3 linked regions of the Alligator mississippiensis genome follow. The protein of the gene in region 1 interacts with the protein of each later gene in a pairwise test. Links are inferred from orthologs where the notes say so. Each region holds a gene or a part of one and is shown in the gene's direction. Other genes may lie near its edges. The genes, in order: REL, OSTF1 and DMRT3.

Evidence for each region.
Region 2: the proteins of REL (region 1) and OSTF1 interact in binary tests that used the Homo sapiens proteins (3 or more experiments, as listed by UniProt). The two-hybrid records come from large-scale screens. The link is inferred for Alligator mississippiensis from reciprocal best matches to the Homo sapiens genes REL and OSTF1.
Region 3: the proteins of REL (region 1) and DMRT3 interact in binary tests that used the Homo sapiens proteins (3 or more experiments, as listed by UniProt). The two-hybrid records come from large-scale screens. The link is inferred for Alligator mississippiensis from reciprocal best matches to the Homo sapiens genes REL and DMRT3.

Annotation. Positions count from the first base shown.
Region 1 is NC_081824.1:211,734,885-211,738,629, forward strand, and holds the start of REL (proto-oncogene c-Rel), read left to right. Parts: upstream 1-1,400; 5' UTR 1,401-1,520; coding exon 1,521-1,527; intron 1,528-3,745. UniProt on the Homo sapiens protein: Proto-oncogene that may play a role in differentiation and lymphopoiesis.
Region 2 is NC_081826.1:197,735,684-197,739,428, forward strand, and holds the start of OSTF1 (osteoclast-stimulating factor 1), read left to right. Parts: upstream 1-1,459; 5' UTR 1,460-1,584; coding exon 1,585-1,618; intron 1,619-3,745.
Region 3 is NC_081826.1:192,449,821-192,453,565, reverse strand, and holds the start of DMRT3 (doublesex- and mab-3-related transcription factor 3), read left to right. Parts: upstream 1-886; 5' UTR 887-1,451; coding exon 1,452-1,857; intron 1,858-3,745. UniProt on the Homo sapiens protein: Probable transcription factor that plays a role in configuring the spinal circuits controlling stride in vertebrates.

The DNA of each region.
Region 1 (3,745 bases):
GGGAAAAGGATGAAACAATGAAATATAGATGCCAGCAGTGCTGTATCCTGTACCACAGGCTGGGCCTGACATAAGCTAGCAATAGTTGATGTTCAGAAATGTGTAACTTTTGACATTAGACTTATGATAACTCATTTAAATTCTGGGCTGGTCACTAGGTCTTGGCTAGCAGGCCAATAGGTTTTGGCTAGTGACTAGTATAGTGTTTCCCAAGCTTGATACCTGGGACACACTTTTTTTCTGGATTAAAATTGGCAGCACACTTCACTCACCAGTCTGTGGGCCAGATCCAGTCTGTGGGTCCAATCCTGTATGTGGTGCTGATGAAGCCAGAGCCCCACCCAACCCATTTTTAGCACACACTTTTGCTGCTTCCACAGTACATCCTTTGAGTACCACTGGTCTAGGAAACGATGTGATATTTCCCCTCTTTTGAATGTTAAATTGGTACAAAGTGGAACGAAAAGTCAAATCTTTTTGAATCCTGCCTTTTGTTTCTAGGGTGTTGTAAGTCAGCTTTGTCCAACTGACCATGAATGTGCTGTTAGTCTTGCATTTAGCTAACTGGTGGAAAGGATGGACGGAGAACAAAACTGTGCAACTCCTCAGCCAATAACTCCCACAGCTGCATGTTAAACTGCAGTGTGTGTGCGTGTGTAATTCATCCTGTGGGTGTGAGATGAATGTGAAACTGCAGTTCACTGTATGTGCATGTGTAGTTCATCCTCTATGTGTGTGTGTGTGTGTGTGTGTGTGATGCATGTTAAACTGCAGCTTGTGTACGTGCAGTTCATCTGGCATGTGTGATGCATGTTAAACTGCAGTTCACTGTGTGTGCAATGCATGTTAAACTTCAGGCCGTGTGTGTGCATGTGTGCAGTTCATCCTGTGTGTGTACGATGCATGTTAAACTACAGTTGTGATCCATGTTAAACTGCAGTGTGTGTGTGTTCATCCTGTGTGTACGATGCATGTTAAACTGCAGTGTGTGTGTGTGCAGTTCATCCTGTGTGTATAATGCATATTAAACTGCAGTTCGGTGTGTGTGCATGTGTGTCAGGCAGAGACAGAGAAATTCTCCCTTCCCTTCAAATTCCGCGCTAGTCCCTGGCTTAGGTCCTTCAGGCGGGTGAAGACAGTGGCCTTCTCTGCCCTTGTGCAGGTTGGCAGGTAAGTGAAACCCTCCAGTCTCCACCTGTTCAGACGAGCCAGAGCCTCCCCCACAGAGCAGGAGGTGTCCCGGGCCGGGGGCGGCCGACTGGCCGCGCGTGTCTCGGGCGGAGAGACGCCGCCGCGCCTCGCCAGGGGCAGGGCGGGGGCGGGGACGAGCAGAGCGCGGCGGCCAGCCCTGGCGCGCGTCACTGGCGGGGAAATTCCCGCGCGGGGCGGGGCGGGGCCAAGCTGCGGGGGCGGGACGGCCGGGCTGGGCCGGACCGGGCCGGCAGCTGCACAGGGACCCGCGGCCGAGCCCGAGTCCCCGGGCAGCAGCAAGCAGCGGGCCGCGTGCGAGGGCTAGCGCCATGGCGGGTGAGTGCGGCCGGGCACCGCGGGGCAGTGGGCACGGGGGGGTAATGGAGGCGCGTGCGCGTAGAGTGGCCGTGTGTGTGTAGTAGACATGGGTGTGTGTAGCGGACATGGAAAGCTCTGTGTGTATGTATGTGCGTACCAAATGGAGCCCAGGTGAGCGGGTCCCTTCCTGTAACAGGGCAGGACGGATCTGTCCCTTAGAGATACCGACATTGTGTCGGTGGCTCTCTCATCTCTGGCTGTGTAACACAGGCTTTCCTGAGCTGATGCTCACTTCACTTGGAGCAGTGGTTCCCGATCGGGTTTTCATGCGCATCCCCCCCACGAGAATGTGGAGAAGGACTTCCTCCACCCTCACTTTGATGGTGCTTTTCAGCTCAAAGCTCCTGACTTAGCTCTGCAGGAAAAAGCATGAAATAAGTTCAAACAATCCATTTATAATCTGCATCTTCGTTAAAGGCAGTGTAATTTCCATTGCATACATGGTGGCTAAATATAGGCACTTGTTTTAGGCAACTTGGTTACCTGTTATGATGCCCAAATCCTTCTCTGCTGTTGTGGCATGGATTGGTATCTTTTCCTGCTGTGGTTGGTATATTTGCCTTCTAAGGCATGCTCCCATATATCAACCAAACCTTCACTTTTTAAATGAAAAATTGCTGTTCTGCTGGACAGCCCCTGGCATGTCTTGCCTATTTGTAGTCAGAGGCTCAGGACTATAACTGTGCATTTAAGCAGTGGTTCTCAACCTCTTTTGTATCAGGACCCATTTGTAAACACCAGTGGCCAGTCCTGACCCACTGCCCCTCACTCCTGACCCACTGTCCCCAGCCCCGCAGTGTGTGTGTAGGGTACACCTAGACTAGTAAATCTGCTAAGCTATGAGAAGCTGCCATTGTGCACGCATTTTATAAACTGACTTGTGGTTTGGATGCTTTAATATTTAGGTGTCCAAGCTGAGACACTTTTTTAAAGGGAACTGATTTTCAGGGGCTAGGTTCTAAGGCTTCCTATAAGTTACGTTAAATTGATAACTGATTGGTAGCCCCAAATCACTAGTCACTTCTGAAAATCTGTTGGCCTGCTTGTTTTTATTTTTCTGCTACTTAAAGTACTATTGTTAAAATCTACAATCATGATTTTAGGAACAGTAGTAAACACTTGTCCAAATATTTACTTTATTTGGTTTTAACAAAATAGATAGTGAACAAACATTAGAAAATGTGAATTTAGAGCTAAGACTGATCACTTTCAGAATGGCTCATTTAAACTTAAAAAACAAGCGGAAATTAAATTAAAAGAGCCAAATGTACATATAAGTTTCAGATCTGGGGTGATTACCAGTTGTCTAAGACCTGTCTGATGTTCAGCTGATGAATGCTGTTCACATTAGAAGAGGATATTGAGAAAGAAGTGAGAGAGGGAGAGCTGCCACAACAACAATGTAATAAACATAAATGGAGCAGGCAAACAGGAATCAGCAGACATAATGCAATTAATTTTTATCTAAGAAAAGCTTTTGATCTTGCATCTTTCATAGAAATTAAAAAAAAAAATCCATTTTAGAGGTGGTTGCATTAATTAAGAGTAGTTGCTGTCCTCAAGAAAAATGTTGTCTAACCTGTATCTGCTTTGTGATCTGCGTGTTAAGTCAGCCATTGCTAGTGCATGTGCTTGATCTGCTTTTCTAAATGTTGGCTTATAGTCAGATAAATAAAATTATTGAGCCTGTGCCCTTTCAAATTTGATATTGTATTTTAAAGCGGGTAAGCTGAAGCAGGAGATATCTATCTCTCTGTTATCAGTGCTGAATAGATTTTCAACATATTGGCAACTAACTGGCAAAGGAATTTTTCAGCAGAGGAAGCTCTTAACTTCCTAGTATTTACTGACTTTTTGTTACTATTCTGTAATGTCACATGATAACAAAGAGGAAGTGTGCAAAGCAGTTTTGCTTAGAGTGCTACGCAGGTCCTGAAGACTTAGGTAGGGGATTACTCTTTTCTAAATTAAGAGGATATTTGCACTTATTTCAGGTTGTAGGCAAATATTTTGTAATAGACATGTTACCTCTGAATTGTCTGCCTAGGCCCCTACCCTTCAGAGAGCTGCAAATACTTAGAATATAATATCTGACTTTTCTGAACGGCCTCTCATTTTTTTGGGGTGCTCAGCTTGGAAGAGTTGGCTCAGAGGCTCTGAACAGATCACTATCATG
Region 2 (3,745 bases), on another chromosome or scaffold:
AGGTGTTCCCCACCTAACATCCCAAAAGTGCCATAGGGTCCAAGGGCCAGGCCACCTGGATCAGTGGGTCTCAACTTTTTTTGTACCAGGACCCATTTGTAAAAATCAATGTCCAGTCCTGACCCAGTGCCCCTCACTCTGGACCTGCCGCCCCCTCATGTGGGGCAGGAGGCGGGGTGGTTTGTAGGTTGTGGGAAGCCCCAAGCAGCCCCTTGCACGCTGGAACTCTGCCAGCCTCCAAGGGGAAAACCCAGAGTTTCCTAGGTTTTTCTCCTTTAAAGGAGAACCCATTTTTAAAGTCGGCTTGCGACCATTTCATATATTCTTGCAACCCACTTTTTAATTTTTTTGTGGAAGATTTTTAATGTTCTAGGCCAGATCAGTTCTGACTCCTTTTGACTGAGCAAAACTCATAGTTTAAACACCATATGTGGCACAGCAACCAGCATTTATCCTCCACCCGACTTCACAGCCTAGGGCTTCAGATACTTCCAAATCCAAATCCAAATCCATTGGTAGGCGACCTATGTGCAGACCCAAGCCCAGAGGCTTGGGGTTCAGATGCCCCCCCAAGCCTCGCTTGCATGCATTAGAAAGCTAGGGAGAGGTGCCCCAATTCCATAAAGTAGGTGCATAGCCGAGGTCGTCCTGCTGGAAACTGGCCAGTTGGAAGCCAATTACAAGGTGTCCTGTCCACAGTGCATTTGGACAAGGGTGCCCCCTCCGCCACACAATGCCCTTTATTTAAATCCATTTCAGCTCCGGTACCGCACCAGTGCAGCGAGTACACTTGATCTTAACCACCAAGAAGGTCGCGCCCCACGGGTTGGGAAACGCCGCCCTGGCTGATACCCTCCCGCGGAGGCCGGCAGCTTTCCATCAGGTTCCAGGGTCCCGGATCTGGACAGCGCTGCACACAGGCTCAGCTCCCCCCTCCCCTCCTGCTGCCCACCCGCCAGCCCCTCACGCCCAGCGTGGGCAAGCACCCACCGCTCAACGCGGGGCAGCTCCACCAGGCGCCAGGCGGCCTCCCCCGCGATGCCCCACACAGTCCCCGGGGCCCGCCTGCAGCCTTGCACGGAATCACCCTCCCGCGCTGCGTCAGGAACCCACCGCCCCGATTGTAACGCAGCGCTGCAGAGCTCCACCCCCGCCCCATTTCCATTGTGACGCACACAATTGAATCCCACCCCCACTAAGACACTACGCCACACTGCCCTCCCCCTACTGCGGCCGGAGCCCCAGCCCCACCCCCACTCCCTGACGTGTAAGACCTGGTCCCGCCCACTGGTGAAGGGAGGGGGGAGAAGAGGAGCAAGGGGGCGAGGCCTCCGTGACCCCGCCCACCCTGTAGCCATTGGCTACGTTCGTCCTCCGCCCCGGCGGGGATTGGCTGCTGCCTTCCCTCCCTGGCTTCCCGGTCCCCGCTTGCAGCGCCCCACGGCCGCCTGCAGGTGGAGCCCGCGCGCGGGGTCGCCGAGCCTCGCACTTCCTCGTCGCTGCCGCCCAAAGGGAGCCCAGCGCCCCGCGCCCCTTCGCGCAGCGCTAGCAGCACCGCCGGGTGGGGCGGCCAGAGTCGCAGCCATGTCCAAGCCGCCGCCGAAACCGGCCAAGCCAGGTAGGGGTAGGGCAGAGCCGCAATGACACGTGGGCACCCGCGGGAGGGGGATCCCGGCGGCCGTGACCGCTCCGGGTTGACCCCCCCAGTCTCTGCCTCCACCTGAATGACACTGGGGTTAAACCGGGGAGCCGCTGCTAAGGCAGCCACTAACCCTTGCCCTGCAGAAACGAGAGCCGGGTGGGGGTGGGGCTGTGGCAAACGCAGGGGCAGAAGGCAGGAGCTGGCAGGAGTAGAAAAGAGCTGCTACCTAGCCCTCCTGCACCCGCTTCAGAGGCTGGAGGTGAAGGTGCAAGAAACCACCCTATGCTGAGGCCTGGCCCAGTGAGGGGCTGCCTAGTGGCTTTGACTTACTGCTTCCTGGAAGGCAGCAGCCAATGTCCTTCTCCCCATTTTACAGGTGGGGAAAATGGAGGCAGCAGCTGCCTAGTACGGACCAATGCAGCCCAGGCTGCGGGAGTCAGAGTCTAGGACTCTGATGCCTACGTAATGCTGCCCTCCCACAGATAGAGCTAGGCCTGCTCCCTAACCTATCCTCTCACGCCACACAAAATGTTACCCAGGAGAATATATTGGAAGCATTTTTATAGAAGCAGGAAGGTTGCGCCAGCGTTCCCACTAAGCTGCAAACAAAATATATATATTTATATAAAAAAATAAAAAATCATGCTGTGCACACAGTGGCGTACCGATGAGGCACCCAGTGCCATAGCAAGGGGGCACCAACACTCCCCCTGTTGCTGGCTTCGTGTCTGGCCACTCGCCCCCCGCCCTAACCCGGCCACAGGCTACTGTAGGAGGGAGGTGGGGCAGGCACACTGAAGGAACAGTGGTGGCGTGAATGGTTCCCCTGCTTTACATGTGGCAGGTGAAGGGGTTAGGTCTGTGTTGTGGCAAGGTTGAAAGTCATGCAGAAGTTAGATGTTGAACTGTACAGGTTTGGATAGGGATGATCCTGCCTCAGGCAGGGGGTTGGGCTAGATCAGGGGCGGGCACCTTATTTCAGGTGGAGGGCTACTTACCCAGTTTTGGCAAGATGTTGAGGGCCCCATTTCTCTCTCCGGCACAAGGAAGCAGGAACAGCCCCACAGTCCCAGGCCAGAAGCCTCTGCTAGACAGGGGCTTCTGGTTGGGGGGGTAGAGCTAGGTGGGTCTTGCTGCTGCATCCCACTGCTGGCTTCCCCTGGGTCCTACTGCCCCTGGACCTTGATATCTTTGACAAGCAGCCAGGAGCAAACGTATATTAAATTTTCTAGGGGGCCCACGGGCCAGATAGAATGGGCTGGCAAGCTGGATGCTCCCGCACTGTATTTTGCCCACCCCTGGACTCAATGATCTCTAGGAGTCCCGACTTCTCTATAATTCTATGAAGCATAAGGCTTCTGTCTTTCCTAGTAACTACCAGGTTGTTGAGTGTGTTATACGGCTTCTTTTTGAGGCCAGGAAAGTTGCTGGTCCAGTTGCACTGAGTTCTCTCTTCTCTGCTTTTTCAGAGCATTTCTTTTGATCTTTTAAAATTCTTTTCTGTCCTTTTTTTTGTCCAACATGCGCTTGTTCTTGTGTTAGGAGATGGAGAATGGGGATGGTTCTGCTTTGAGCAGGGGGTTGGATTAGGTGACTGCCCGAGGTCCCTTCCAACCCTCATTTTCTATGATTCTAATGGAAACTTCTCCCATTCACCTCAGTGGGAAGATGGATCAGGAGGTAGTCCTGCAGTTGCTACAAAAATTGAGCATAAACACCTAAGCAAGGACTAATTTTATGAATATTCATTTGCAGCATGTCTTTTAATGTGCTCTCTGCTAAAGCATAGAGATGCACAAATAGGGCATGCAAAACATACTTGGATTTGCCCTCTGATATCAAACAATAGCAGTATTTTTATGTATAAGCAAGCTTTATTCACAAATTTCCAGGTTTTCTACTTTCATTCTTTCCTCCATGCCCCCTTGTAGCTCTCCAGCCAGAAGTGCCCCATGCCTCCCACATCTTTTTTTATTTACGTTTTGTTGCTTAAATGCACACACTCACCGAAGCTTCCCCAGCACCTCTCAGGCTTCCCTGCCCCTTTGAACACCGTACATGACCCTAGTTTCCCTTGCATCTATGGAGGATTAGTTCAACATT
Region 3 (3,745 bases), on another chromosome or scaffold:
AGAGAGAGAGAGAGAGAGATTTTTGCAAGGGCTTAAAATTGCCTGTAGGAAACGTGGTCTATGTCTGTGTAATATTCTCGGGGTGAGACTAGCATCAACCAACGTTAGAGACACAAACAATACGGGGGAAACATTGTGTTGCGATTTGGGCATTCTGCAGAAAATAAATGGACTGCGTGCCCTATTCCCGATCTGTTTCAGTTTCCTCGTCATGTAAAAAGCAACAGATGAGTTAGACAAGAAGCCCCTCTCCTTTGATAGCGGCAAGATTTGTGTGTAAAATACGAATCGACCAGCTGGGAAAGCGAAGGAGGGCTTTGAAAAGGAACACGGGACCGAGTGAAATCTCAGGTCGCGTGTATCCGTCTCGCACTTTTACTCCTTCTGGGCAAAAAGACTTTTCGAAGTGAATGAGCGATCTCTACGTTTGAAAGTTGCTAAATATGTCACCGCTGCCATCAAACAGCCGCGGCATAAAACTAACTTCTTTTTAACAAAATGTTGGTTGAGGAACAACAAAGGCAAACTTTCAAACGCGGCCACCAGCCCGCGGCCCCTGGCACGGAGTGAATGTGGGAGCAGAAGGGCGATCGCCACGCTCCGAAAGTCAGCTCGGGGGGTTGTCCGGGTTTAACAACCGCCTGAGATGAATTTGCTTCATCCCAAGCTGCATTCACGGCGGGGTTTGGGGGGTTATTTTTTCTTCGGGGAAGGTTGCTGGGAAGCGCCTTTGGTTGCCTGCCCGGGAGCTGAGCCGCGCGGGCTGGGGGAGCTGGAAAGCAGAGTTACGGACTGCGGCTCGGGGTGGGCCGCCGGGGAGGGGGCTGCCCGGGGGGGCATGGCAGGAGCCATCTTGGCGAGAAACAGCCGGGCGGGGAGGCAAGACCTCGGGCCCGCCGGCTCCGGCCATTTGTTTCCGCCAGGAAATGCGATCGCGGCCGGTTGGGAGCCGGTTTGCGGCGGGCGCAGGGGATGGGACCGGCGCCTCTCGCCCGGCTCCTTCTCCCCTGGTACCCGTCCTGTGAAACTTAGCGCGGCGGGTCCCACTGGTGCAGAGCAGCCGGGGCCCGTGCAGCCCGCTCAGGCACCTCATTGCTGCAGGGGGGGGGGGGACACCTCCCCGCCCTCCTTGCAAGCGAGGGGTGCTGGGGAACCCCCCCGAGAAGCCGCAAGCGAGGGGTCGGCTGCCCCCAGCCCGGCCCAGCCCTGGAGGCAGCAGCAGCAAGCCCCAAGTGGGGGAGCCCCCCCTCCCCAGCGCGCACACACTCCTCCCGCCCGCTTCCCAGTGGCTGCAGCGGCTGCCCAGGAGCCGGCGCGCCTCCCCCCGCTCCCTCCCGCGGCCCGCCCCCAGGCCGGGCGCAGGTGGGAGGCAGGTGCGGGGCTGGGGCTCGGGCCGGCGAGCGGCCGCACGGAGGCAGAGGCTGCGGCCGCAGCAGCGCGCGGCTCGGGGCATGAACGGCTACGGCTCGCCCTACCTGTACATGGGCGGCCCCGTGTCGCAGCCGCCGCGGGCGCCCCTGCAGCGCACGCCCAAGTGCGCGCGGTGCCGCAACCACGGCGTGCTCAGCTGGCTCAAGGGCCACAAGCGCTACTGCCGCTTCAAGGACTGCACCTGCGAGAAGTGCATCCTCATCATCGAGCGGCAGCGGGTCATGGCGGCGCAGGTGGCGCTGCGGCGGCAGCAGGCCAACGAGAGCCTCGAGAGCCTCATCCCCGACTCCCTGCGAGCCCTGCCCGGCGCCCCGCCGCCGCCGCCGCCCGCCAGCCCGCAGCGCCCCCCGGCCGAGCTGGCCGCCGCCGCCGCCCTGCGCTGGGCGCCCGACCCGCCCGCCGGCCTTCAGCCGCCGCCCAAAGCAGGTGAGGCTCCCGCGGCCGGGCGGGGTTGGGTTGGAGAGACCGGGCAAACTTTCTCAGCGCAGGGAGCCTCCTCCCGCCTTGGAGGGCTGGGAGCGCCGGCGAGACAAAGCCTTTGGTCCGGATGCGGTGGGTCCTGCTCGGAGCAGGGTGTCGGGCTGGATGCCCTCCCTTCCAGCCCTCATTGGCCCTCATTCCCGAGGCATGGGGGGCTCAGGCTGAGTGGGATCCCTCCCTCCCCCCAAAAAGGGAAAGGACTCTCCTTCCCTGGAGATGAGCTGCCTAGGGGACGCTGGCCTGACCCAGAGCAGGGCTGCCAGGCTGATCAGCTGGATGGAGGGGCTTCCCTGTGAGGAGCCCAGGCCTGGGTGGTTGAGAAAAGAGAGGCTGGAGAGGAGATTTACCTACTTGTACAGGGAGGGTTTGGAGAGGGATGATCCTGCCTTGCATGAGGTGACCTCCCAGCCCTGCAAAGTCCACGGGCAGGAGAAAGCTGGTGGGGATTGATCACTGCCTCTCTCAGCGGGCAAGAACCAGGGGCAGAAGATGAAAGGAGAAGGTAGGAAGTTGAGAAGAAACAAAAGGAAGCTCCTCTTCATGCAGTGCCTCAAAGCCTGCGGGACTCCTTGCCCCCAGATGCGGGGGAAGCTGATGGTTTAGGCAGATTCAGAAAGGGACTGGACACCTTCTTGGAGGAAAGGGGCAGCAGGGGAGTGAGGGGCACAGCCTCTGGATCAGCCCCCCACGCTGGGGGCTGCAAGCGAGAGAGGAGTGGGGAAGACCCTCCTCAGACCCACTCCTCACTTGTTTTCAGCTCCACTCTCTGCCCCTGCAAGGCACTGGGCAAGAGGGACCCATGGGCTGTCCCAGGAGATGGCAGCTTGTATGGCAAGGCGAGGGCAAAGCCCTTATGCCCAGCCCGATTGAATTTGTTCCAGGCCAGATCCGTGGCTTGCTCCCTCCTCACTCGCCCCAGTGGGGACTGGCAGCGGAGATGAGTGGGAAGGGGCAGCTCCCAGCCAGCAGGCACTGTGCGGCCCCCGGTGGGACACAATCAGATCCCCCTTGGAGCCTGCTTTTCCTGCCCGGCTCCCCCACCCCCGCAGACCCTGCCCTGTTTGTGCGCTCTCCTGGGGCAATGTGAGAGTGGGGCAGCAGCTCCTGCCATTTGTTTACTTCATTCTTCAGCCCCTCTTCCCTCCCCTCTGAATAACTTTACAGCTAACACTTTTTTTAGAGATTTATTTTTGTTTTGGCTCAGCAAAATCATTCTGGAAATCCTCCTCCCTGAGGGACAGAAGCTCCCTGCACGCAGAGGGGCTGCCAGGCTGCTCCTCATGGCCCCAGCGAAAGCCTGAGGCAGAGAAAGTGTGCAGAGAGCAGGGACATGGCCCCTGAGCCAGAGGAAGGCGCAGGGGGGTTTCCAGCCCTCTTCATCCCCACACATGGCAGCTGTGGGGGCAGCGCTGTGCATCCCAGCGGCCCTCATAGTCTTGGGGGGGGCTGCTGCCCGTGGGGAGGAAACCCCCGATGGACAAGCTGAGGCTTTCTCAGGCTCAGCCCCGCGCCATCCCGGCCCGTGGGAGTGAAGCAGGGGGCTTGGCTGGAGCCTGGGGCTGGTGCATTGGGCTCTGCACCAAACTCCGAGGGCTCCCGCCCGCCTTGGAGCCATGTGCACTGGTCCCTGGGGGCAGCCCGCTTGTCCCTGATAGTCAGGAGTTACACTTTGACTCTTGGGGGTGGGTCTTGGAGGGGTTTAACACTAAGTTAAACTGGTTCATTGGTTAACAAGTCTACTCCGAGACCTCCTCTCCAGATTATGATTTTCAAATCTTACAGGAGGGTTTTCATCTCTTATGGGGGTGGGGGCTCAGCTGCCCCAAGCTCCCCC